Linked DNA regions of Xenopus tropicalis. The protein of the gene in region 1 interacts with the protein of each later gene in a pairwise test. Links are inferred from orthologs where the notes say so. Each region holds a gene or a part of one and is shown in the gene's direction. Other genes may lie near its edges.

What was found. The genes of interacting proteins can lie anywhere in the genome.
Region 2: the proteins of retinal rod rhodopsin-sensitive cGMP 3',5'-cyclic phosphodiesterase subunit delta (region 1) and rnd1 interact in a two-hybrid assay, tested with the Homo sapiens proteins (2 studies listed by BioGRID). The link is inferred for Xenopus tropicalis from reciprocal best matches to the Homo sapiens genes PDE6D and RND1.
Region 3: the proteins of retinal rod rhodopsin-sensitive cGMP 3',5'-cyclic phosphodiesterase subunit delta (region 1) and rap1a interact in a two-hybrid assay, tested with the Homo sapiens proteins (2 studies listed by BioGRID). The link is inferred for Xenopus tropicalis from reciprocal best matches to the Homo sapiens genes PDE6D and RAP1A.

The regions. Positions count from the first base shown.
Region 1 is NC_030681.2:101,177,174-101,185,243, reverse strand, and holds the start of retinal rod rhodopsin-sensitive cGMP 3',5'-cyclic phosphodiesterase subunit delta, read left to right. Parts: upstream 1-2,855; 5' UTR 2,856-3,881; coding exon 3,882-3,928; intron 3,929-8,070. UniProt on the Homo sapiens protein: Promotes the release of prenylated target proteins from cellular membranes. Modulates the activity of prenylated or palmitoylated Ras family members by regulating their subcellular location.
Region 2 is NC_030678.2:136,031,229-136,039,254, reverse strand, and holds the start of rnd1 (rho-related GTP-binding protein Rho6), read left to right. Parts: upstream 1-2,603; 5' UTR 2,604-2,695; coding exon 2,696-2,815; intron 2,816-4,853; coding exon 4,854-4,941; intron 4,942-8,026. UniProt on the Homo sapiens protein: Lacks intrinsic GTPase activity. Has a low affinity for GDP, and constitutively binds GTP. Controls rearrangements of the actin cytoskeleton. Induces the Rac-dependent neuritic process formation in part by disruption of the cortical actin filaments.
Region 3 is NC_030678.2:59,458,069-59,466,094, forward strand, and holds the start of rap1a (ras-related protein Rap-1A), read left to right. Parts: upstream 1-2,603; 5' UTR 2,604-2,802; intron 2,803-8,026. UniProt on the Homo sapiens protein: Counteracts the mitogenic function of Ras, at least partly because it can interact with Ras GAPs and RAF in a competitive manner. Together with ITGB1BP1, regulates KRIT1 localization to microtubules and membranes.

The DNA.
Region 1 (8,070 bases):
CCCCTTGAACTTTTCCACATTTTGTCACATTACAGCCACAAACATGAATCTATTTTATTGGAATTCCACGTGAAAGACCAATACAAAGTGGTGTACACGTGAGAAGTGGAACGAAAATCATACATGATTCCAAACATATTTTACAAATAAACAACTGCAAAGTGGGGTGTGCGTAATTATTCAGCCCCCTTTGGTCTGAGTGCAGTCAGTTGCCCATAGACATTGCCTGATGAGTGCTAATGACTAAATAGAGTGCACCTGTGTGTAATCTAATGTCAGTACAAATACAGCTGCTCTGTGACGGCCTCAGAGGTTGTCTAAGAGAATATTGGGAGCAACAACACCGTGAAGTCCAAAGAACACACCAGACATGTCAGGGATAAAGTTATTGAGAAATTTAAAGCAGGCTTAGGCTACAAACAGATTTCCAAAGCCTTGAACATCCCACAGAGCACTGTTCAAACGATCATTCAGAAATGGAAGGAGTATGGCACAACTGTAAACCTACCAAGACAAGGCCGTCCACCTAAACTCACAGGCCGAACAAGGAGAGCGCTGATCAGAAATGCAGCCAAGAGGCCCATGGTGACTCTGGACGAGCTGCAGAAATCTACAGCTCAAGTGGGGGAATCTGTCCATAGGACAACTATTAGTCGTGCACTGCACAAAGTTGGCCTTTATGGAAGAGTGGCAAGAAGAAAGCCATTGTTAACAGAAAACCATAAGAAGTCCTGTTTGCAGTTTGCCACAAGCCATGTGGGGGACACAGCAAACATGTGGAAGAAGGTGCTCTGGTCAGATGAGACCAAAATGGAACTTTTTGGCCAAAATGCAAAACGCTATGTGTGGCGGAAAACTAACACTGCACATCACTCTGAACACACCATCCCCACTGTCAAATATGGTGGTGGCAGCATCATGCTCTGGGGGTGCTTCTCTTCAGCAGGGACAGGGAAGCTGGTCAGAGTTGATGGGAAGATGGATGGAGCCAAATACAGGGCAATCTTGGAAGAAAACCTCTTGGAGTCTGCAAAAGACTTGAGACTGGGGCGGAGGTTTACCTTCCAGCAGGACAACGACCCTAAACATAAAGCCAGGGCAACAATGGAATGGTTTAAAACAGTGATCCCCAACCAGTGGTTTGTGAGCAACATGTTGCTCCCCAACCCCTAGGACGTTGCTCCCAGGGACCTCAAAGTAGCTGCTCATTTTAGAATTCCTGGCTTGGAGGCAAGTTTTGGTTGCATGAAACCCAGTGTAAAGCCAAACTGAGCCTTCTGTAGGCTGCCAGTCTACATACAGGCTACCAAATAACCAATTATAGCTCTTATTTGGCACCCCCAGGAACGTTTTCCATGCGCGTGTTGCTCCCCAAAACTTTTTCCATCTGAATGTGGCTCACGGGTATAAAAGGTTGGGGATCCCTGGTTTAAAACAAAACATATCCACGTGTTGGAATGGCCCAGTCAAAGTCCAGATCTAAATCCAATCGAGAATCTGCGGCAATATCTGAAAACTGCTGTCCATAAACGCTGTCCATCTAATCTGACTGAGCTGGAGCTGTTTTGCAAAGAAGAATGGGCAAGGATTTCAGTCTCTAGATGTGCAAAGCTGGTAGAGACATACCCTAAAAGCCTGGCAGCTGTAATTGCAGCAAAAGGTGGTTCTACAAAGTATTGACTCAGGGGGCTGAATAATTACGCACACCCCACTTTGCAGTTATTTATTTGTAAAAAATGTTTGGAATCATGTATGATTTTCGTTCCACTTCTCACGTGTACACCACTTTGTATTGGTCTTTCACGTGGAATTCCAATAAAATCGATTCATGTTTGTGGCTGTAATGTGACAAAATGTGGAAAAGTTCAAGGGGGCCGAATACTTTTGCAAGCCACTGTAGGTATCCAGTTTTTGTGCAGTTAAGAGAATTTTTGTGTCGCCTCTCCCTACTAGCTCTCCTGGCAGTGTTTCAATGCCCACTTCCTCTCAGTTTATATTTGGTTTTTCAGTACGTAGTTCCTCCCATTATATAAAATGTATTTTGTGAGTCAGTACCCACTGCCTCTCATTATATAATATAATTTCGGTGCCCCTCAGGCCTGGACTGGTAATCTGTGTATTCTGGTAAATGCCTGATGTGCACTATAAATTATTACATTAACATTTATTTATAAAGCGCCAACATATTCCGCAGCGCTGTACAATATGTGGGTTACATACATTGGACATACAGAGTAACATATAAAGCAATCAGTAACCGATACAAGAGGTGAAGAGGGCCCTGCCCAAAAGAGCTTACAATCTACAAGTCACTATTTATTGGGGAGGGGGGGGGGGGCTATTTGGGCCTCTGTATAATAGAAATGCCATGTCCTATTTTGAATCACAGTCCGGGTCTGTAAACTATGGTTGAATAAGAGGGGGAGAAAATTTGCGCCAGTAAATTTAACCTAAAATAAAAAAAAATAGAATCCAGTATCTTCCCAACTATGTAGTTACTAACAGTCATCATGTAATGCATTAAGTTACCTACACGAGTTGTGAACATGTGAACTTGTGCTCTAAATTGCTTTGCTTCAGTAAGTAAACTTTGCAAGATCACCCAAACTCAATTATTCTCTATTACCACCTGGAACAAGTAGCCAGTGAATGTATTTTGACCCTTTTCGTGTCCCGTACAACTTTCCTCCGTTTCTATGCAACATGAGGTTCCTCAAATTAGTGACGCGCGAGCACTCAACCAGACTTGAAATCGATTTGTCCCGCCCTGCGTGCGACGTTCTCTCTCTCCTAATTGGTGCGTGGCGATATCACTCAGCAGGGATTCCGACTGTGATTGGCCGGTGCTAGCATTTTTTGTTGAACTGTACTAAACGTCATAGGGCAAATAGGAGGAACTGATGTAGCTTAGTAAATCTTCTTAGCCAGATCCTGTAGACGAGGAGCTAGTTGTTAAATCCATGCTGACATAACGAGTAGTTACTATACGATTCCGGAAAGCAGTGCAACATTGTAGAGTTCTTCCCAGTGCCGTGGCCCTGGGACCTCTGTGTTACGGAAAGCTGATCAGGGCGTCTGTCAGAGGCAGAATCCACGCTGCTCGCCTCCAGGTGCAAGTAAAACTGCAAATTCTGTTCAGGATTATTACTCTATGTGGTGGGTGTGATATAGGTGTGGAACTACTACTTAATGCATAGAAGCTGTTTATGCTGCTAGATTACCCCAGCACCGACCTACCTGCACTATGTCTGGCCTGTACAGCCTACCTGTGGTCTGACTGGCTGATATCGCTTGCCTGTACCCTTTCTGGCTCAAACCATCTACCATTGCAGTTATATTTTGTGTATTGTCCATATCATCAATTGCTGCAAGGGCCCCAACTCACCTGCCAGAATTGGCACTTGGACACATCTCAAGATATTGCATATTAAAACGTGTATGTACTGAGAGAGTGAAGCTACTGTTGGATCACCTATGATTGCTTGTGCTGGTTGCTGTTGCTAGCACTGGCTGAAATGGAATTACTCTGACAGTCCAAGTTAGGGTTAGGCCACACCTATTTTATTGTCATTCTACTGGCCAGCGAGAGACCGTCATGCATGTACTTTCTGAAATTTAAATTAAACAAGACTTATACCAGTACTGTTCCAAGACCATCGTATTTAATTTTAAACCAAACTAAACTTTTGTTGTGTCAGTATGAATCTTATGCAGGCTTAACAAACCTGGATCATCTACAGAGGCCAGAAGTCTATTGTAATCACTGTAAAACTCAACACTGGCTTTTATAGCTTTTGCATAACTAGGACCGGAAAACTTGAACTGTATATCTCAAGGGATAATCCTTCAACTGATAAAGGAAATCAAGGACAGCATTCAACATGTCTCAGGATGAGAGAGCCAAGCAAATCCTAAAGGGATTCAAACTGTATCCAACAATAAGGGTGTAAGTGGAAAAGAGCATGTTATGAGAAAGTGATATCACAATTATGGGTCCCTTGGTGTAGGTCAGGTGTTGTAAGTATAAGATATAAATTTAAGTCAAAAAAATGAGTGGCGTCTGGTGATTCAGGCTTTATTTTTTTTTATCTCAGTGTTGCATTGATGACCAGCCTCTGGCCCTCCAGCTGTTGAGCTTTCAGCATCTCTTGGAAGATTAAAAGTGATTAGTGATTAGCGCTTAGGGAGATCTAGTCCAGATGGCAGGCCACAGGTAGGACTTCCCTGCAATACGGCATTAATGCAAACTATCAGCATGGTGTGACCATATGTGATATACTTATCTATAGGTTTATATTTGGTGCTAGAACATTAAATGCATCAAATACACACACTATTGGGATTCAGAGACGCAATAAACACCTCAAAATTTGTATAATAAAATACTACAAAAAAGTGCAAGTCTGCATCAGACCTGCTTGTTTAACAGACAAACAACAACTGCTGGCATTATGAAATAAGCACTAGATCGGTTACATTGCAGCCATTTTGTATGGGTTAACTCTCTGTATGGATGATTTACTAAGATAACAACTACTACATATCACCAATTCAGTTGCTCATGACAACCTATCAGATATTTGATTTCATTTTCTCAATGAGTGGTTTTTTTTTTGTTTGAATTCATGCCATAGGCAGAGGTATATGATAAGTGGCTTCTATAAGGTTTTTTTGATCTGAAGGGGTGGTCATTATTACAGATTGCTAGGTCTATTTCTATAGAAGTAGACTTATTTTTGATGATGTGGTTAAGGTCTTGTATGTGTTGTGTCTTTAATGGGAAAGAAACCTTGTCATTGGGGTAGGGGAAGTGTTGATATGTAAATTCCCCTCTAAGTGAATTTAATCACTGGAGTCTTTTTTTATTTAATAGACATGAAGCTGCGGGCCAGTTTGGGTGCAGATGGAGAGGGGGGGGGGGTGCAGGTCGACAAGAAGTCGACCCCGACATCACTACTGGCTTGGGAAACTTTCTAAAAGTGGTTCAGCTGTGCCTTTCATAAACTTAGATTTGAGCATGTGTAATAGACTAAAATCTGAAAAAATAAGGACACAAAGGAGCATCGGTCTGAGGAGATAGTATAGTAATGTAATGCACTGGGTAGTGCTTTACATTTTGGCAGCCCCTAGTATATATAGGATTCTTAGTCTTTCCATGTGTCTATACACAGACCGATATAGGCAGCCCACTGGGCCCTGTATGGAAGCTAAACTTTTTAATTTGTCTGGTGCTGCCTTAAGCACTGGACCTTAGCTCCAGGGTCAAACTGGACTACCAGGATATCAGGAAAAATCTCAGTGGGCCCAGACCCTGCCACCCAAGCCCTGGCTGGCAAATGCCAGAGAGGCTGCTGTAAGATGCCATAGACAGTCACTAGTGGGTTGATGGGGGGCTGTTTGGTTTGGGCATCTCTGCCTGAAATGCCATGGCCTGTTTTGAATGCCAGTCTGCCCGCAAGCCCCAGCCATCACCTCTCCCTGCTTAGCTGTGCTACTTATTTTGCTGTTTAAGGAACAGTTTAGTAAAAAATGAAACTGTGTAAAATAGACTGTGCAAAATGTTATGTCCACTCAAGTCACTGATTGGTAACTGACTGTTAACAACTTAGGAGGAGGAAGTAGTGTTCTGGCTACTATGTTAGACATCTGCCTACATAATACTTTATAGATTACATTTTCGGCTAACTAACCATATTGAAAACATTTTTTTATTTTGCACAGTCTATTTTACCCAGTTTCAGTTTTACACTGAACTGTTCCTTTAAAAGTTAAAGATGGGCATAAGTTCTACTGTGGAACGGCCATCTTCCGGAGTGGGAACTTGGTGAGCTAGGAGCAGCACTGGCTGGGTGGTGGACCCCTTAAGTCAAGTACCCAGTGGGCCCCAGTCACTCCAGTCAGACTCTGCTCAGCTCACTCCCTTTCTTCCATCTTTTGATAAGCACATGAACAGGCAATCCTACTGTACTGAGCATGCACTGATCGCTAAAGATCAAGTTCTCCCTCAGTATCACTGCTGGCTTTTGCCTTAAGTATCCAGCGGCGGGCTGCAGAGATTTTCTTATTTTGGGTGCTTAAATATGACTTGACTCTGCTTCAACATCGCAGCCTGAACAAACCAGTGGATTTTTATATGTGTAGCTAACTACAGGTAAAATTTTACCCTTGCATTTTTCTTTTGCAGTTCTGCTGAGTAACTTTTTTAAATTAGATTTTGTGTAGGGATGCAATGAATCCGCTATCGTAAATGTTTCGGCCAAATACCAAACAGTCTGAATACTAATTTGTATTCGTAAATTAGGATAAGTAAGGGTTTAGAGCCGTGTTTGTGACCATAAGTAATGTGATTTTGAGGATTTGGCTCGGCCAAGAGTGTGGATTTGGCTGAATCTTGGCCGAGTCCCGAATCAAATCCTGGATTTGGTGCATCCCTACTTTTGTGGGTCAGATTTAATCCTACAAAATCTGATATCCATAGGTTGTGATGTAAACTTGTACCAGTGCAGTTGAGCACCTATGTTAGTAAATTACCCCCACTGTTTTTTTTTTTTTGTTACTTCTGTTTTTGGTATTTATTTATTTTTTCTAAGAGAATAGCTATAATACTTTCATAGAAAGCCACATTCTTGGAGAAAAGGAGAGCTCACTTGTGCCTGGACCTACTGGGAATTTTCCCTTTTGTCGTTTGGTTTAGTTAGACCATATAACTTTAGAAAGCCTACCAAGATGAAATGCATTGGGCAAAGTATGTATTTGGACCTGTGGAGTAAGTTTGGGGACACAAGAAATGTACAATACCACCGCTAAAGGTAACAAAAAAAAAAAAGCTTGCAACTGAAGACAGAAATGGCAAGCTACACAGAGCCCCTTTTAACACCACTGTTTAAAGGAGGATCACACAGAGACACATATCACCTTTAGAGCATTAATACTATTATGGTAGGATGACTTTCATTTTTTTCTTAGATATGTTATCTGGAACATTTATAGTAGTGATCTAAAGTTTTGTTTTTTTTCTTTCAAAGTGTTCCTTTACAGCAGGGATCCCCAATCATTTTGTAGAAGTAAACCACATTCAAATGAAAAAAGTTTTGGAGAGCAACATAAGCATGAAAAAAGTTCCTGGAGGTGCCAATGAGAGCTATAATTGGCTATTTAATAGCCCCTATGTCAGGGGTGTCAAACTCAATCACATAAGGGGGCCAAAATCTAAAACACAGACTAAGTCGTGGGCCAAATTTTTTATTAATATACTTAGTAAGATACTAAGGGGTATATTTATCACAATGTGGTGATGTTGCTCATAGCAGCCAATAGATGCTTTGCTACTGTTGAAATCTGATTACTGATTGGTTGCCCTGGGCAACATTACTGGTAATGCTTCACTCCACTTTTTACACAGCATGATAAATATACCCCTTAGTCTTAGTTACTATGTGAGGAAAATGGAAATTGATCAGGCTGGATGGTCAGACTCACTCACCAAGGGCCACATAAAACAGCCAGGTGGGCCGCATTTGGCCCCCGGGCCTTGTGTTTGACATATATGCCCTATGTTGACTGGAAGCCTACAGAAGGCTCTGTTTGGCAATTACACTGGGTTTTTATGCAGCAACTGGGAGCAACATCCAAAGGGTTGGCGAGCAACTTGTTGCTCACGAGCCATTGGTTGGGGAACACTGCTTTACAGTATATTTAAGGCATACACCAGTTTTTCTAATTTTTACTGTAAATTGATTCGGGATTGTGAGTTACCCCAAGGACAACTTGGCTGTGGTACAGCATGTATTCTGTTTTGCCTGGTTAAAGAAATTAAAATGTTTTTTTTTTTCTTTTTAAGAGAAAATATACCTGATTTATCAGAAATGTTTATTGATTATAGTGGTTGGACAAATTATGTTATAATAGAGATTAGATAATACATGTCATTATGATCGTAACAAGATTACATTTAACAGTATAACAGTATAAATAATAGTTCTAACTGAAAACTAGTATGAATAGCTAGAGTGACAAAATGTTTTCCCATGTTGGATTAAATTAGTTGTCGCTCAGGTTCGGTTAGGAATT
Region 2 (8,026 bases), on another chromosome or scaffold:
CATATATTCACACATTTATATACAGATGCACTTGTTCAGCAATTTCTGTTTCTCTATCTCTCTCTCACACACACACAGTGTATATATGGAGGAGACTCTGGCCCTATATACAAAGAATGTTTTGCTTCCCTAATTGTTACACCTACGGAGGCTGGCAGAAGAATAAGGAAAAACAGAACAGGAAGGGTGTGGAAACATTAGCACAATATAACCCTAGGTTTATAATCTTACATAGATTTAGTAAGAATCAGATTTCCATATTTCTAGTGTTTAATCTCTTGGATGCCGTTTCCGTAGCTGCCCCTTTGTAAATGAGTGGGTGGTAATTCCTGCTTGGCCCATACACACTTAATGCTAACTTCATCACTGATCTTAACTATTAAAAGGTTTATGTGAACTAAAAAGTTTCTGCATGGTCTTGGGCTGGGCATACATGCAGTGTTCTTGGATAGAATATACTGTGTATGTGCACACCTCAAGCCTGCCTATGGTCAGGCCCAGATTTGCGGTAAGGCCAACAATGCCTGGGCCTATGGAAAATTATTTTAGGGGTGGCATGCTGCCCAGGCCAGTCTGCATATACATGTTTGTTCCAGAGCACTGGGCATTGGGCACACAGCAGATTAACAGTTGTTTGTGCCCAGTTAATAGTGTTCTGGAACACAGTAGCGGAGTGCATGGGGGGACAAAAAACTGCTAGCTAGCCTAGGGGGTGTCATTTTTTGGAAATCCAGCCCTGCCAAGGATTACTTGGATACAGTGGAATAATGGTGACATCGCACTCCCCAACAAAGTACCCAGGATCGGTTTGTTTTGCTGTATAGAAAAGATGAATCAGCCTGGGGAGAAAGGTTAGGGAACTTGATCACTAGGCATTGCCTAACAAAATGACCCCAACCCCCACCCCCAGTGTTTTAGCTTTCCTTGTGTTTTAATTTATATTGTCTAATTTGTATTTGTCACTTGCAGTCTTGCTTTAAGGGCGAAGACACACAGGGCGATTAGTTGCCGCAATGTTTAGAAAAGTTGCAGCGACTAATCTGTGCAGAGGAAATGCGCAAGCGATTAGTTGCAGCGCTGGCCATTATACTCTATGTGCGAAATGTCATGGCAACTGGCTTAATTAAAAGTTGAGGCGACTAATCGCCTTGCGTGCACAATTTGCAGCCAGTGTCCCTTCCTGCCTCTTGCCCTGATTAGCCAGGGCTCAGACTCTATGATGGTTATATCCTTCAGCCCTATCAGAATCCATAGATTTTACAGGTGAACCTTACACACCCATTTAATGCATATTTAAAAGTAGTATTCCTATATTTTATTGTGCATGAAATAAATGAAGTTCCCCTTCAAGCTGGGCAGCAAAGGGTTGTGCCTGTTACATAGTTCACAACCTTGTATTTCTAAATAAAACCTGCCTAACAGCTACTTGATCCACAGGAAGGCAAAAAGAAAAACAAACACGTGGAGCCTCTCCAATTTACCTTATGATAAAAAAAATTCTAAGATGGCAATCGTACCAGCAAGGAGAAGCGTAAATGTATACACACTCAGGGAAGGCTGGGCGGTGTGATGTAGGGGCCGCAGCAGGGACCCCTTGGGGAGTGTGGGGAGCCCTTGGGGAGTGTGGGGAGCCCTTGGGGAGCGTGGGGACCCCTTGGGGAGTGTGGGGAGCCCTTGGGGAGTGTGGGGACCCCATGGGCAGCAGCCTCGGTGGGCCCTGTACACTCCAATTTGACTTTGGGATCAGTCCCTGGATCAACTTTGTCCTAAGAGCTAAATTTAACTGCCCTGTATTTTCTAGTTTGTCTAAAGGTCATCTAACCCTCTCTAATACATCTGCCAAGTACTCAAAGGGAAGTTTTATTTCCATTCTTTACCAGTTGCTTTGAGGCTCCTTCCTACAGATCCCTGAGTTTTTCCTCCTTGCCCCAGGTTCTGATCTTCTTTCCTGCTGTTAAAACCATTATCTTTCTTGGGTTGTAGATCCAACACATGCAAGTGGAGCATTTGCTTCTCATCCCCCCTGCCTATGCTTGCTATGCCCAACTCCTCTGCACCCACCCTCCATAACCCGCTTGCAGCAGTCACCAAAAAGATCCTCATGGAGCACTGGCTGCGAATCGCCAGACTCGTCCTATTTAAATATGTGCAAATGTGCTGGTACAAACAGCGGTTTTGCCGCTTAGTCAGAGAGTTACATAACCCTGAAACCATGTAGGTAAATCAGTTCCTTATTCGTACGCAATGCCTGCTGCTTTCCAGGGCCACTGTAAATAAGACAGTAAGTACCTATACCGAATAACAATTTGTTGCCAGCGCCAGAGCGAGTTCCTTTCCCACCACAGGAATGGGACGAGCAGAGCCAGCGGGCACATTATGCAAGAGCGGGCGTTTACACGTGTATTCAGCATTATCACTGCCGCCCTTTCCCGGGCAGGCGGGCACATTCCTGACTAGAAAGACAGTCTCAGGTTAGAGGCGGGGCATCCCTGCAGGACTCGCCTCTAATTGGCCCAAGTCCATCCGACTTCTGCCTTGCGATTGGCTCAGGGATGCCTATATAAAACCTCTCTGTCGCGTTCTCTCTTTAGTGGTACCGGCGACGCGGAGGTTATAAGTTGGAGGAGTTGGGAATTTGTATCAGTTGGGTAAAAAGTCATTGTTGGATTTGTCCCACCATACTCCCTGCATCACCATGAAGGAGAGAAGGAACCCACAGCCCGCTGTAGTGAGGTGCAAGTTGGTTTTGGTGGGGGATGTTCACTGTGGGAAGACGGCAATGCTGCAAGTGTTGGCAAAGGATTGTTACCCAGAGGTGAGTTCTACCCCCCCATGGCCTGATTCACATGAATGCCCTTTTCTTTGGGTATTAGTAATGTGTATGCATGCTCGCCTTGCTGGATTAACAGTAGCCTTTAGCCCTGCCATTAGCCAAGTCACATTGCTGAGATGCCAGTGCACTCATGTGGAACTGCTGGTTCCCACTCCTGCTGGACTGTATCTGCATCCTTTCTACATGAGGGCTTTACTAGCACCTCTAGCGCTACTGCCTGGCTGGGACTTGCCAAATGTGACTGGCGTATAATGTTTGCTATATAATACCTTACTTACATGGCTGTTGCCTGATTTATATATTTGTATGGGATGGTAATGAATTAAAGCCATAACAGGTTGGTTATTCAATACTACAAAGGGTGATGTATTACAAGTTTGCCCCAATATAGCAGAATTTAATGAAACCACCCTACCTATCTACAGGGTGTGAGGTGGCTACTATGTGCCCTAAATGTATTGTATGCGCAGCAGCATGTAGAATATGATTGGAAGCTCACTGGTAAGCATTCCCCTTTGCCATGGATCAGATGGATTAGGCTAATTTGGAAGATCCATGAGTACAGTTATGTAAGCGCCCATGCTTGTGCTATACCCACAATCAATCTTACTGGTATTATATGATCTGTTAGTAAGGGCACAGATCCCCAGAACAACTTGCATGTTGTGCTCACCATTTGTAGAGGTTTAACAAGAAGCCCATGGGCACTGATCCATAATCTTTTATAAAGAGTTTTTTTTTTGTATAGAGTTGCAGCAACAAGCACCCCAACCTCTGCCAGTCACCCTCTATCCACCCTACCCTCAACCTATGTATGAAGTCTATTGGTCCATTTAACATTGCATTTTCTGTGCAATCTTATTGTTTGTGCCTGTGTGGCCCTTGTGCAGATTCAGACCCAACACCCTGTGCAGTTATGCCACCAACATTCTTATTCTCTAAACGGTATGTTTAGGCAGAAGGTGATTGAGATACATTTATTACTGTACTTAGGAATTTAGCCATCCCTGCTTTCCTTCTGCCAGCAATGTACCCACTGAAGCTGGTTCGGTATAGTAGCTAGAATCTAGTATATAGATACATTTTCACAGATAATTCCCATTTATTTGCAGTGTTTTCTGTAAAACAGTGTTGTCCAGCCTGTGGCTTTCAGTCTGTTGAACTGTAACTCTCAGAATTCCTTTACGGGAATAGACTTCATGTTAGGAATCATTTGATGCCCCAGTTTACAGTCTAAAATGTTTATAAATAAACCACTTTGAATAATTGTAACCCACACTTTGGTTTTGAAACATACCACATACAGAATAGTTGCAGATCAATTATCTGGAAACCCGCTATACAGAAAGCGCTGTAGTATGGAATTGCCATTTTCCACAGCTGTGTTTAAACAACAATTCTTTTCTGACTGATAATGCTTTTTTTTTTTTTTTTTTTTAGAATAAATCTATAGTTACAAGCCTACAAGACAAGCCTATTAAGTTTTTCAATATTTAAATGTTTTATAATATCCTTATGACTTGGAACTCCTAATTAAGGAAAGACCCTGTAGAACTTTAGGTCCTAGGCAATCCATATAATAGATCCCATACCTGTATAATATTGTGGTCTTTATGAATTTGTTTGAAAGGGTAACAAAGCCAAATATTTTATTCGTTTTTTTTATTTAGGTGAAAAAATGTTGTATTGGGTGTTTTAAGTTCCTCAGTCTGACTCTGGTTTCTCTCCTTTGTCTGCTTGTCTGGGTTGTCTCATTGTATGGTGCATTCATCTTGCGTGTCATTATCATCTGTATGTTGCAGTGGTATTGTGGAGACATGCGTGCTTGTGTTGGCTGCAGTGGTGTCACCAAGCAGTGTTGCCACAAGAATCTGTATATGTTGCTCAGATGCCAACTGTCACAGTTGCATAATTGTGTTTATGTTTGCTGTCCCAGCATATTGTGTTTCATTCAAATATCTCTGTTGCCTGCAGTGTTGTCAGTAAGTCACAGCTATATATGTGTGTCTCTTGTTTTCAGACCTATGTACCTACAGTATTTGAAAATTACACAGCCAGTTTGGAGACAGAAGAACAGCGTGTGGAGCTCAGCCTGTGGGACACTTCAGGTATGGGACCCTTGGCATTTCTGCCACAGACTATAAAATGATGACTACTCTTCCCTAGGAAAGCATTAGTGCAAAAAGTGATGTATTCTCTTTAATATAGAAGGTTTAGTTTTCAGTCCTTTGCATATTTTAAAATGGCAATGCCTTTATATGCTCTGACTTGGTATACCTGTCTGTTGTCATGGGTTCACTATCGCTATATATAGTGGAAAATGGCACTGCTGCAACGGTTCCAGAGAACAATGAATCCAGCCCTCTCAGCAGTTTATCACTCCCCTTTTGCTTAGGAACAATACCTTTGAGCAAATTTCCTTTATGGACTTCTTATGATAATAACACATTTATTTGGGGCATTTGGCCTTCCTCATTTCTGTGTGAATGCTTTCAGGTGGTTCTCAATAGGGACAGGAGTGCAAAATGACATATCTATCTGTGTGCTATTTACCTTAGGGAGAAGGCAGTTGCGACAATTTTAAAAATCCTGTTGTGGCGACTAATTGCTTCCGCTAACGTAATGGAGGCTTGCATTGTGCGCTTCTATATTTATGGGCGGATGTAGCGTTGCAGTGTTTAGTCTCCATGAAAAGGTTTTTCAAAAATTGCTGCGACTAATCTGTCTATCTTCACCCTTAAATGACCGGAAGCCAAGTTTTAGCAGGTATTTTCTGATAAAGCATTCAAAATAATAAATGGTGTGCAGGATAGGGCAATTATTGGGGAAGGGTGGAATAGATTTTTTACCTAAAAATGTTTAGTGTTACTTTCCCTTTAAGGTCGCTGTGTGACCTCCAGGGTTCTGTGGTAGAAGAGAGATAAGAGACCTTGATTCTGTATTTACAGAAACTTTAACTGTTAGACTGGCAAAGATGTCTGTGAAGGGTTCTCACATTGTGCACCTAAGGCCTATTGTACATAGGACTTTTTTGACCAGTACTGTGCTGAAGCAAAAAACATTTGTGATCAAAACACTTGTTACCAATAACCATACTAGATCTGGGCAAAGGCTTTGCTTATGGAATCTGTTAATGTTGGCAGTCGGCCTCCACTTCAAAAAGCTCTGAGTTTGTCAACACCAGCATGTCCTGTAAGTAGATTGTTTACCTTGCTTTGCAATGGAAAGAGCCAATCGGAAATTTTGGCCCTTTTTGTTTTGGAATGCCCTTTTTAGACAAAGCATTTAACCACTCACATGATATATACACTTATAAAAGTGCAGTATAATGTGGGTTCGCAAAAAGCAATTACACAACACTTAAGTGCTATTTGAGCTGGCTATATAGTCCATGTAAAATAGGTCAGGATTAAGCAGACAAGATTTGATGGAGCAAGCAATTGGTATGTCTAATGCTCTCATGGCTTAATGGTATAAAACAGACTGGAATTAAAGAATACCATTAGAGATCATTATACCTGTAAAATCATTCTATTCACAATCACCTTGGAAGTAGGATGTATTGCTTGATTATAAGCACTCGTTTCTAGAAGTATAGGTGGTGTTTCTCTTCTTGAAAGGCATAACACTTTTTTTGGCCTGAGAAATCCAACTAATCATTTAAAGCATCTAAAGCATTTAGCATACAGATTCCCAATCTTGTTACACACCTGAAGGTTGAAAGATATAAAACAAATAATGGTATTAGAGTAAAATTGGCCCATAACCTTTCTTTGAGTAGGAACCTGGGCATGTTGGCTGACTTGCCTGAAGTGCTTTTTGGGGTGTGGTTGCCTTTTAGTAATACAGATAACAAGACAATGAAGAGTTTGGTTGTTGTTTATCTAGACTCCTTTGAGGCAGGGGGTGTGGAAGGTTGTTGTAAAACAATTGTAGGAGGGAAAGGGCTGACATTCCACTCTGCCTGTTAGAAATGGCTGTAAACTGTAATCAGAGGTCTATTGTTTGGCCGGTTTTTCCTGCTGAGTGCCGTTCTGCTGGTCATTCTGGGCTGAAACTGCCCTCCAGCTCAAAACAGGGTGGAAGTCAATTTGACCCTAACAGCCACATTTCTACATGTTGTTACAGCTGTTTCAACTAGGACAGCTGAGTATAGTAAATTTCCCAGTTACATGGCTGTCTTTTTAGTAATGCAATGCTAGCATTATCTTGGATACATAATTTGCTTGATTTTCCCCTACAGTTTAGTATAATCTGAGGAAGGTTTTCCAGCATCACCATCCCTCTTCATTGGGCAATTAGAAAATAAGATTTGAGTAATTTTCTAATTTTTGTGTATTCAGAATGCTGTAGTGCCGCATAGCGGAAGAACCTGAATGAAATTCTGAGCTCTCGTACCCATATTATTGAGTCTTGTTTTTTTCCCTAGATCTGCAGTGGCACTATTTATCTCTTAGCGGCCCTGCTGGCTACTTGCTATGCAGCGCCAGCCCAGACACTGCTGCAGATCAGTGGCAAGAATTGCAAAGCACATACGTGGCACATACCCTTTCAGCCTGCTCTACGCAGTACAATAAAAGCCCCTGGGGAAAGCGATGCAGCAGGCACTAGCCAGTCCTTAAAGAGCAGAGCAATAATGCCAGGCTGTTATCCCTGAGATGTACCTAGCAATTAAGGGGATGTGTCCCTTGATTTGTGATCCTAAGCCGAGTCACCTGCCCTATTGTCCTCAGGCATTCCGATGGTGTACGTTGCACATCTTCTTGTTCTAGAGATGGCAAGCCTTGGGGAGCGTGTTCCTGCAAGGGTTCTACTAATGGGGTGCTACAATGGATGCATTCTAATGATTAATTAAGACTTTTTCTGACTGGAAACTGTTTCTATGAAACTTTCACTCCCACAGAGTATTTTGGCATCTTAATTACATACACATAATCCAAATAGAAGATGGAAGTTAGTAAAATTTTTATTCATGCCCGGGTAATGCCAGTGTGCAGTGCCCCTCTTTTGTATAAAGAAGCACACATTTAACTAGTTAGTTCTTGGATTTTTTTTTTTGTGTATTGATGTATTCTGCAGCTTCCTGTCCCTCTCAATGATTGGTCTGGCCTTGTTGCTATGGATACTGCTCTCCTAGTCCGGGAGGGGGTATTTGCTATTCTAAGCACGGAGCGACTGAGCTGAAAGCTGGAA
Region 3 (8,026 bases), on another chromosome or scaffold:
CAAACATGATAGAAAAGAATTTGGAGTTTTTTCTTAGGGTGACAGGTTCCCTATAAGGCACTTCACACCTTTTTATATTACCATAAATTATAAACATTTGTTTTTGCTAATTTTATAACTTCTGAAATGTAAATAAAATGAATGACTAAAAATAGTAGAAGGCTCTGTTCTGTTTTCAGAAATGTAGACTTCTTTATTCAAATATTTGGAACCGAAAAATACAACAACATATAGTTTAAGCCGAAAAGCCAATTTTCATATACCTAACTTCCTGTGTGAGCAGCAGAAGCACTATGAGTTATCTGTGCCTTTATGTTTTCTGAACGGAAACCTCAAATTGTGCAGTCAAAGTAACTGCACACCAGCTTTCCGATAAACTTGGGCACAGGGAACTCTCCTCTAATTTGTACAGAGAGCAAATTAAATTTGAAAAAATGATGCCCATATTTTACACACATTATATCTGATATGTATATATATATATATATATGGGTGATGAGTCCCATTCACTATGAAGATTAGTTTGGGTGATGTATGGTGTTAAGTGCTTATTTGTTATCCAAGATATTCATTGTAAAGTTGCTTCTGCCAAGTGGTTATATTAACATGCAGTTTTGTCAGCACTTGGAGGCAAAGTGTTCAAAGGTAGCATCTAGATTTAGTACCCAGTGAGAAAGATTAAGAACCCCATGGACTTTCTAGAAGGAGGCCACAAGCAGAAGCTGGGAAGAAGAACATGCACTGCAGAAAAAAAGTCATGGTAGGCTTGATTTTAGGGGCACCATGCCGTCCAGACACATTTACATATGTTTCGGAGCACAAGACTGGACATGCAGGTTTTACAGTTGTTTAAAACTGACAAGCAAGTGCCTCCAGGGGTTGGCTGGCCTTGGGGCACCTGCATAATAAATTTGGGCCTGAGTCTTTGATAACGTATTTGGGCATCCCTTTTAAAATTGCATCTCCTCAGATTAAACTCTCACTGATTAGTAAGACACTTTCTCTGATAGCAACTTCGGCACAAACATTATAGGTTTTTTTTTTATGGGTGAGCAGCTGAACACAGGTTATCATGACCAAGCACAATGTCAAATATCATATGAACTGCTTTAAGTGAACTATTAAAGAATCTCACCAAACTGGAATATATATAAGTAAGTATTCCCTTTTACATCCTTTCCCTTGATCCATCATTTAGTGATGGGCTGTGTGCTCCCTCAGAGATCACATAACCAGAAATAATGAAGCTCTTACTGTAACTGGAATCCTATGATCCCAGGAGGCGGCCCTTAATTCATAAAAATGGCAGTTTTCTATTTTGGATTACTCAATAGCACGTACTACTAAAAAGGATCATATTTATAAAAATGGTTTATTTAGATGAAGAAGGGTTTTACATATGAGCTTGTTTATGCAATATATTTTATGGGGGTATAGTTTTCCTTTAAGTAATAGAAATGGATAATCTACAGTCTGAGGAATGAGTCTTAGTTTAGTTTGGATCTTATTCTTGGATACCAGGAGAATATTACCTAACTGAATAAAAAGTGCCAACTGTTTGCGGAAGAAAAAATAATAATATGTGACTGTCTGCATGGTTTGAGCTAGGATCACTGGTTCTGCTGAAAGCAAACCTTAAGGCTACATTACTCTACAATTGATTGATTGAGGCTTGATTGCCTATCATCAAAATCCCAGTTCACTAGGGCTCTTGTGGCTATATAGTGGCAAATTCCACCAACACAAAGCGCTGTAGAGCATTTTGTTGCATGAGAAAGTTTCAGCTCAGCTAACTTGAATTGCTTCTAGTTCATTTCTATAAGAATTGCCTGGAACTGTAGGTCAGATTATCATTGTGCAATGATTATAGGCCTGAATGGATTTAGGTAATATCTATAGAAGTGAGTGTGGCTGTTAATTATCCAATGCACTTTTGCCCTATTTTAACTCTACTCCACCTACAGCAGGAATGATCTGAAACACCGCTGCAGCTATCCTACATAAACCAGCACCCCAGAGAATTCTACCCCACATTTAGGGCTTTCCAGCAGGAATTTAGCCAATGTACACATTTGCCATTACTTTCAAAAAATGTCACCTCTCTGGCAAAGCTATGGTTATAAAGCTTGTACCCTAGTGTTACAGATAGCTCCAAGAAAGCGTTCTGCGTCTACACAGAAAGCCTCAATGCTTGCATCAAGTCTCAAAAAGAGTGCATTGGATATGTTCATACGCACACGTACAACTACTTCAAATAACTTTATTTCAAAGAAGTAAAATACAGCAAACGTCCACGTCATGAATCTTATTCGGTAAAAGATCAGTTATTTTAGAAAGTGCTAGCAGAAGAGGAACATTCTTCTCGTACATAGTTAACATATCGGAACCCTCTACCAAGCGCGCTCCCATCTATCTAGCCCACTAACGGTTCTTCACAAAGACAGCCAGCACGCATGCCACTCTCTACTACGCGTTTCCTATTGGCTGCTCCTCGGCCGAATGGGGTCGCTTGCCCTCCCCCAGCTCCGGCTCCTCCCTTTACCCCATCCTGCAAGCAGTGCGCGTACCCGCTCCTAGTTAGGCGGGTCCCCGTGTCTCTGTGTGACTTTTTGGGCAGCTGTCGGGACTATTTTTTTTTTTGGTTTTGTTTTAGTTTTATCTCTTTTCGTATTGTTTCGGTGCCGCTAATTTGTTATCCAACGAAGAGACAGTTTCTCGGCAAAGAAAAAAAAAAAAAAAAAGGATCTGAGTGGACGTCGGGGTATTTTGCGGGCCCCTGGTGGGAAAGAAGAGAAGTTGTCGGTAAGGCGGGTTCTGGGCAAAGGCGAAGGGCAGAGGCAAACGCTAGCTTGTATTACAGGGAAGGCCGAGGATGAGGCCTGTTTGCCGGCTGCTTACTAACTCTCTGCCTGCTCTCGGCCCTGTCACAGTTACTTTTGTGCCTCCATGGAAATTCTGCTGGGCGTTTGACACTGTCGGTCCACCCACGGTTCTACGGCTCCCAGCAAGCTCAGTGAGCGCAGAAACTCAAGCTTTGCGAGTTACAGAGCCGTGGCGATCTATTTACATAATGACTAGTCTTTCCCTGTGCTACATACAGGGTCAGCCCATTAAGGCCGTCACCAGCAGGTTGTTGCTCTTGTTAAACTTGGGCATGTGGGGTACTTGTTTCTCTCTCTGCTTGTCATGTTATACTGGCGTTTTAACCAATGGTTCCGGTCCCTATGCTTTGCACATCTGAAGCAGGATCTTGTGACTGAGGCTGGGTGTCATTGGCTAGCTCACTGACAGATACGCAAGTTCCAGTTTAGACACATTACATTAACATTTATTTATCACTTTAAAGTTCCTTTTATGTCTTGGTAGGTTTCCTTGCTAGCTCTGTACAGGGCAGCAAGCAATGGGGAACAGGAAGTAGAGGGTCCGGGTATTAGTATGTTACACATATGTACAGGGCCTTTTGTAAAAGAGTGTTTCTGATAGTGTGTCTTTCTATTTAAGTGTGAGTAGCATATAGGTAACTCTCCTATAGAAGGCACATATTTAGGGTCAGATTTATCAAAATGTGAGTTTAGAGCTTAATAAATAAAAACTCACCCACATTCTATTTATTCCTGTGGGATTTTTAAAAGTGTATTGATCAAAAGGCGAGTTCTTACATTCACCCTTTGGTAAATGCCCTTCTAAAATCCCAGAGGAATAAATAGAAGGGGGGTGTGTTTTTATGTACTAAGCTCTGACTTCACATTTTGATAAATGTGCCCCTTAGTGTTGGGGGGAAAAAGGCTGCCCAAGATTGATAGTATATGCAAAAAGTTTTGCATTTAGAGAATTCCATTGCCCTCATGGCCAACAGGAATAGTCAAATAACTAGTTTGTCTACATTTATGTCCAATCTACTTTGGTGTCTTACCATAGGGAGAGTTATCACCAATGTTGATAACTTCAGTGGCCCACACATGGATGAGCATGCAGTCAGAAGTTAGTCAAACTGCATAATAACTCTTTGCATGTTTGTGTAGCATTATTAACATAATACAAACCTCCAAATCTCACACTTGGCATTTTCAACTGCTATCTGGATGCTAGGCCTTGAGAACCCTAGCAACCAGGCAGTTGGAACTGAAGATTAATAGGAGAGGGTATGGAAAGAAAGCTACACAGTAAAAAAAAAAAAAAAAAAGAATTGTTGCTTAATCTGTTTTTTGGGTGACAAATAATGTTTTGAGTCGGAGACTAGAATAGGCAGAATCGGAATAATTCTAATAAATCAATCCCGCCTTAACTTATTAGTCAAAATTAGTAGTGTAATGTTTGTTGAACAGTGATGTTCTTTACTTTGCATTGTGCACATTTTGGATGGGGTGTGTTAACTTGTGAGCTTTGGTATTTTGTTGAATGTCATTCTAGTGTCACTAGCTGTTTCGTTAATATGCATCACTCATACATGGACACATATGTAATAATCCTCTGTACATTAACTGCTAGTGATCCATCAGCCAATATAGAGAGTTGTATTTGTTTTCTGTATAGAATTCAACTTCATGCAATTTTTACTGTCATATTACATGTGTATTGAAAAATGGGAGTGACTTGGCACATAGCATCATAATAAGGGTGTGGACTTGACCACAACTGCATGAGAACTGAAAGGAAAACTAAGCCCACTTCAGGAATGAATAGTGTAGGCCAAAATATATATTTTTTGTTTTTGTTTTTTTTTCATCAACATGTGGTGATTCTGGGAGAGCATTCAAGTTTTTTGAGTTTTTTGGGGGATTTTAAATAGAAATCAGCGTTACCAGAGGAACCCCACACAGATATGTGGAGAACACCACTGTTTAGAATCAAACCTAGGACTTTAGCAAGGGCTAACAAAAGCTCTAATATGCCTTGGGGCATGTTGTGCTTTATAGCTAAATCACTAGGCCAAATATGTTGCTGTTTTTGTTGTGACAAAAATTTGCAGCTGCTGCAATGTTGCAGGTGCAAATCACTATTTATAATGACTGAGGATGGAAGGCAGTACTTGTCCACAGCATTTGTGGATGAGTATAGGTAAATTACATTTTGGAGAGGGCTGAATTTATTATGTTATGTTTTTACCTCTTATTAATGTAAAGTGTAAATGGTAGCTATTTGTTTAATTTTATTTTCCATTTGGACTCTCTAGTCTAAAAATGCATACTACAACATTAACAAAAGGTGTCAGAGGTGGTTTAGAACACTTTGGGGAAAGTCCCTGTGTGCTATAACCCAAAGAAGTCACAGCCTACTTGTAAGCATGATTCTGCTTGGAGCTTTGGCTGTAGTGGCCCTTTAAGGTGTTTGTGTCCTCAAAGACATATTTATGTCCCAATTTGCCCATTCTCCCTTTAAATGCTTTGCTTGTGATGATGATGAGCGGCAGCAGCAGTTACCTCTTAGTATGTGATTGCTCACTAAATCTGCCTGCCACCCCTATAACTATTTCCATCAAGCTCCTTTTCTCCCCTTTCGTAGTACCCCTTCCCTAAACCAAACACATTTATTCCCACAGGCAGGGATATTACTGCTGCTGCAGCACTACACATTTCATTCAGTGTCTTTGTTAGATCATGCCGCAGTAATGATTTTATGCCTCTGCCATATTTTCTGCGTTTGCTTGCCTGATATTCTTTTTCTCCTCACACAGAGGCCTTTTATATTATAAACAGCGAGTTGTTAGGCAGGAGTGTATAGTGTACAGGAAGCTTAAACTTTGGTACCAGAAGTCACATCCTGTCATACTTCTTAGTAGGTACTCTGTTGGTGGTAAAGAAGTGTAGTAATAAATAACATTGACACCAATTCAGTGTACAAGTCTGTTGAGAAATAGAAAATGCATTTAAGAGAATGAGAGAGCACCTGGGAATTAGGTTGGGCAGAAGAAGATTATAGATGAGGACAACATGAAAAAATAAGGCAGCTTAAGAAACAGAGAGAAAGAGAGAAGTGCAACAGCTCACCTGTTAGCAATGCTGGGGTCAGTTCTGGATACTGTCTACAAGGCCTTAGTGTGCCCCATAGTCCAAAAACATACAGACACAGCAAAATTTCTTTCTTAACAGCAAGGAATTTTGCAGGACATAGACACATCACTATATTGTAAGGCTTAGGAGCCTACAGCAAGAGAAACAAAATTTCTTAACAGGTAGGCACTCCATGCTTTACCTAGCACTTACTCATAGGCAAAAGCCCAACAGATAAAGCAGAAGCATTTAAAGAAAGAGGAGCAGGAGAATGGGGATGGAGAAGAAGGAAGCATTTCAAAACAGATATCCTCTCACTGATCTGAAAGTGCTGCATGCTGCAAAACTTGCGATCTATGATCGACTAAACTGTTACTGCCCAGATCGTGAATTTAGTGGTTAAATACTGCCAAAGTGTCTATGTATTAGATCAGGGTTTTCCAGCTGGCGGCCTGTGGCCCCCCACCTGTTTGGCTGCTGTGACTGCTTATCTTAGAAGAAAAACGGCTCTCGAAGCACCACAGACCGCCAGAGAGTAGATAAAATCCAATCTTTATTCACATCCTTTTAAAACCCAGAACGCCTGACGCGTTTTGTGCATCCAAGCACTTAATCATAGGCATGTGACTGCTTACCTTTGTGTAAACTTTAAATGGTATCAGTACTGAGATTAAATGGCCCCCTGCATTGGTCACACCTCAGATTCAGACTGTAAACCCCTGTATTGTTTAAACGTGTAATCCCCTGTACTGTTCACACCTTATAATTCCTGCATTGTTCACACCTCAGGCTCAGACTGTAAGTCCCCACATTGTTCTCCTAGTCATACCTCAGACATACTGTAGGGGCAGTGCCAGCATTGTGTCACTGTATGTAATGACTGTCCTATGCTGCCTGTGTGTATGACACACACAGGCAGCATAGGGCAAGCAGAGTACTGCCTGTGTGTGCCATACTCTTCCTGCCCTATGCTGCCAGTGTGTGCCATACTCTGCCTGCCCTATGCTGCCAGTGGGAGGTGAACCTGCCAGGGGTTTGTTCTGGAAGTTTGTTAGCATTTGGAAATAGTCATTATATGGTCCCTAAGGTGTGTAATTATATGCTGGGGGTTGCTGTGCTATCCACAGGGGAGGAGAAGACATATGGATTTAAGGGTGTGCCTTAATATGACATAATATTCTTTCACATACAAATGAAGGGTGACATCCCTACAGTGAGCACCAACCATTTGTGTTTTTGCTGCGCTACCAATATTAGGTGTATGGCCTTAAAAGCTCTTGTGATAACATGGGTGTTGTTTGAAGTGGGTGTGGTTTAAAAAGGGGAGTGGTCAAAACAGGCTTCCATTATTGGCCCTCCATCATGTAGGCCACACAAATTCTGGCCCTCCGTACCACAGAAGTTGCACAGCACTGTATTAGATATTAGCTGGACAGCTGTACATAGTAAACCACACCCAGCAGGACGTGAGGATATAAATTTGTGGCTTATATAAGCCACAAATTAAATTTTTTTGTGTTCCATAATGTCTTATGATGTAGATCAGAAAAGGAAAGGTTTTACCAGTCTCCTTTGCATTCAGCAATTTTTCATTGTGCTTAACATGGTACTGTATGTTCATGTGTGAGAAATTCAGAAAGCTTTTTGCGGAAAGAAGTTATGATATGAGTTGTGTTGCTGTGGGTTAGTTCAATCTGCAGTTGATTGATCTTTGATTGCTGTTGACTAGTTGTCTAGTATGGCTAACTAAACTGTAGCGACCTACAATATAGCTGAGATGTACAGTTTATTGCCCTAATTCTGCAAATACATTTTTAATAGAAAAGTATTGCCACACAGATACGCACTACGATGTACATAGGAGCACCTCACTGATGCCATTCTGGACATGTGACCAGGACACTTACAAGAGCAAACCAAATGTGTATAGCTAAGTTTGTTCTTGCAGCGTTGTGACATCTATACATGATTTTTTCCTGCAAAATATCTATAAAAATGTATTTGATATGTTGCTGTGCCGTGGGAATTTCTGGTTC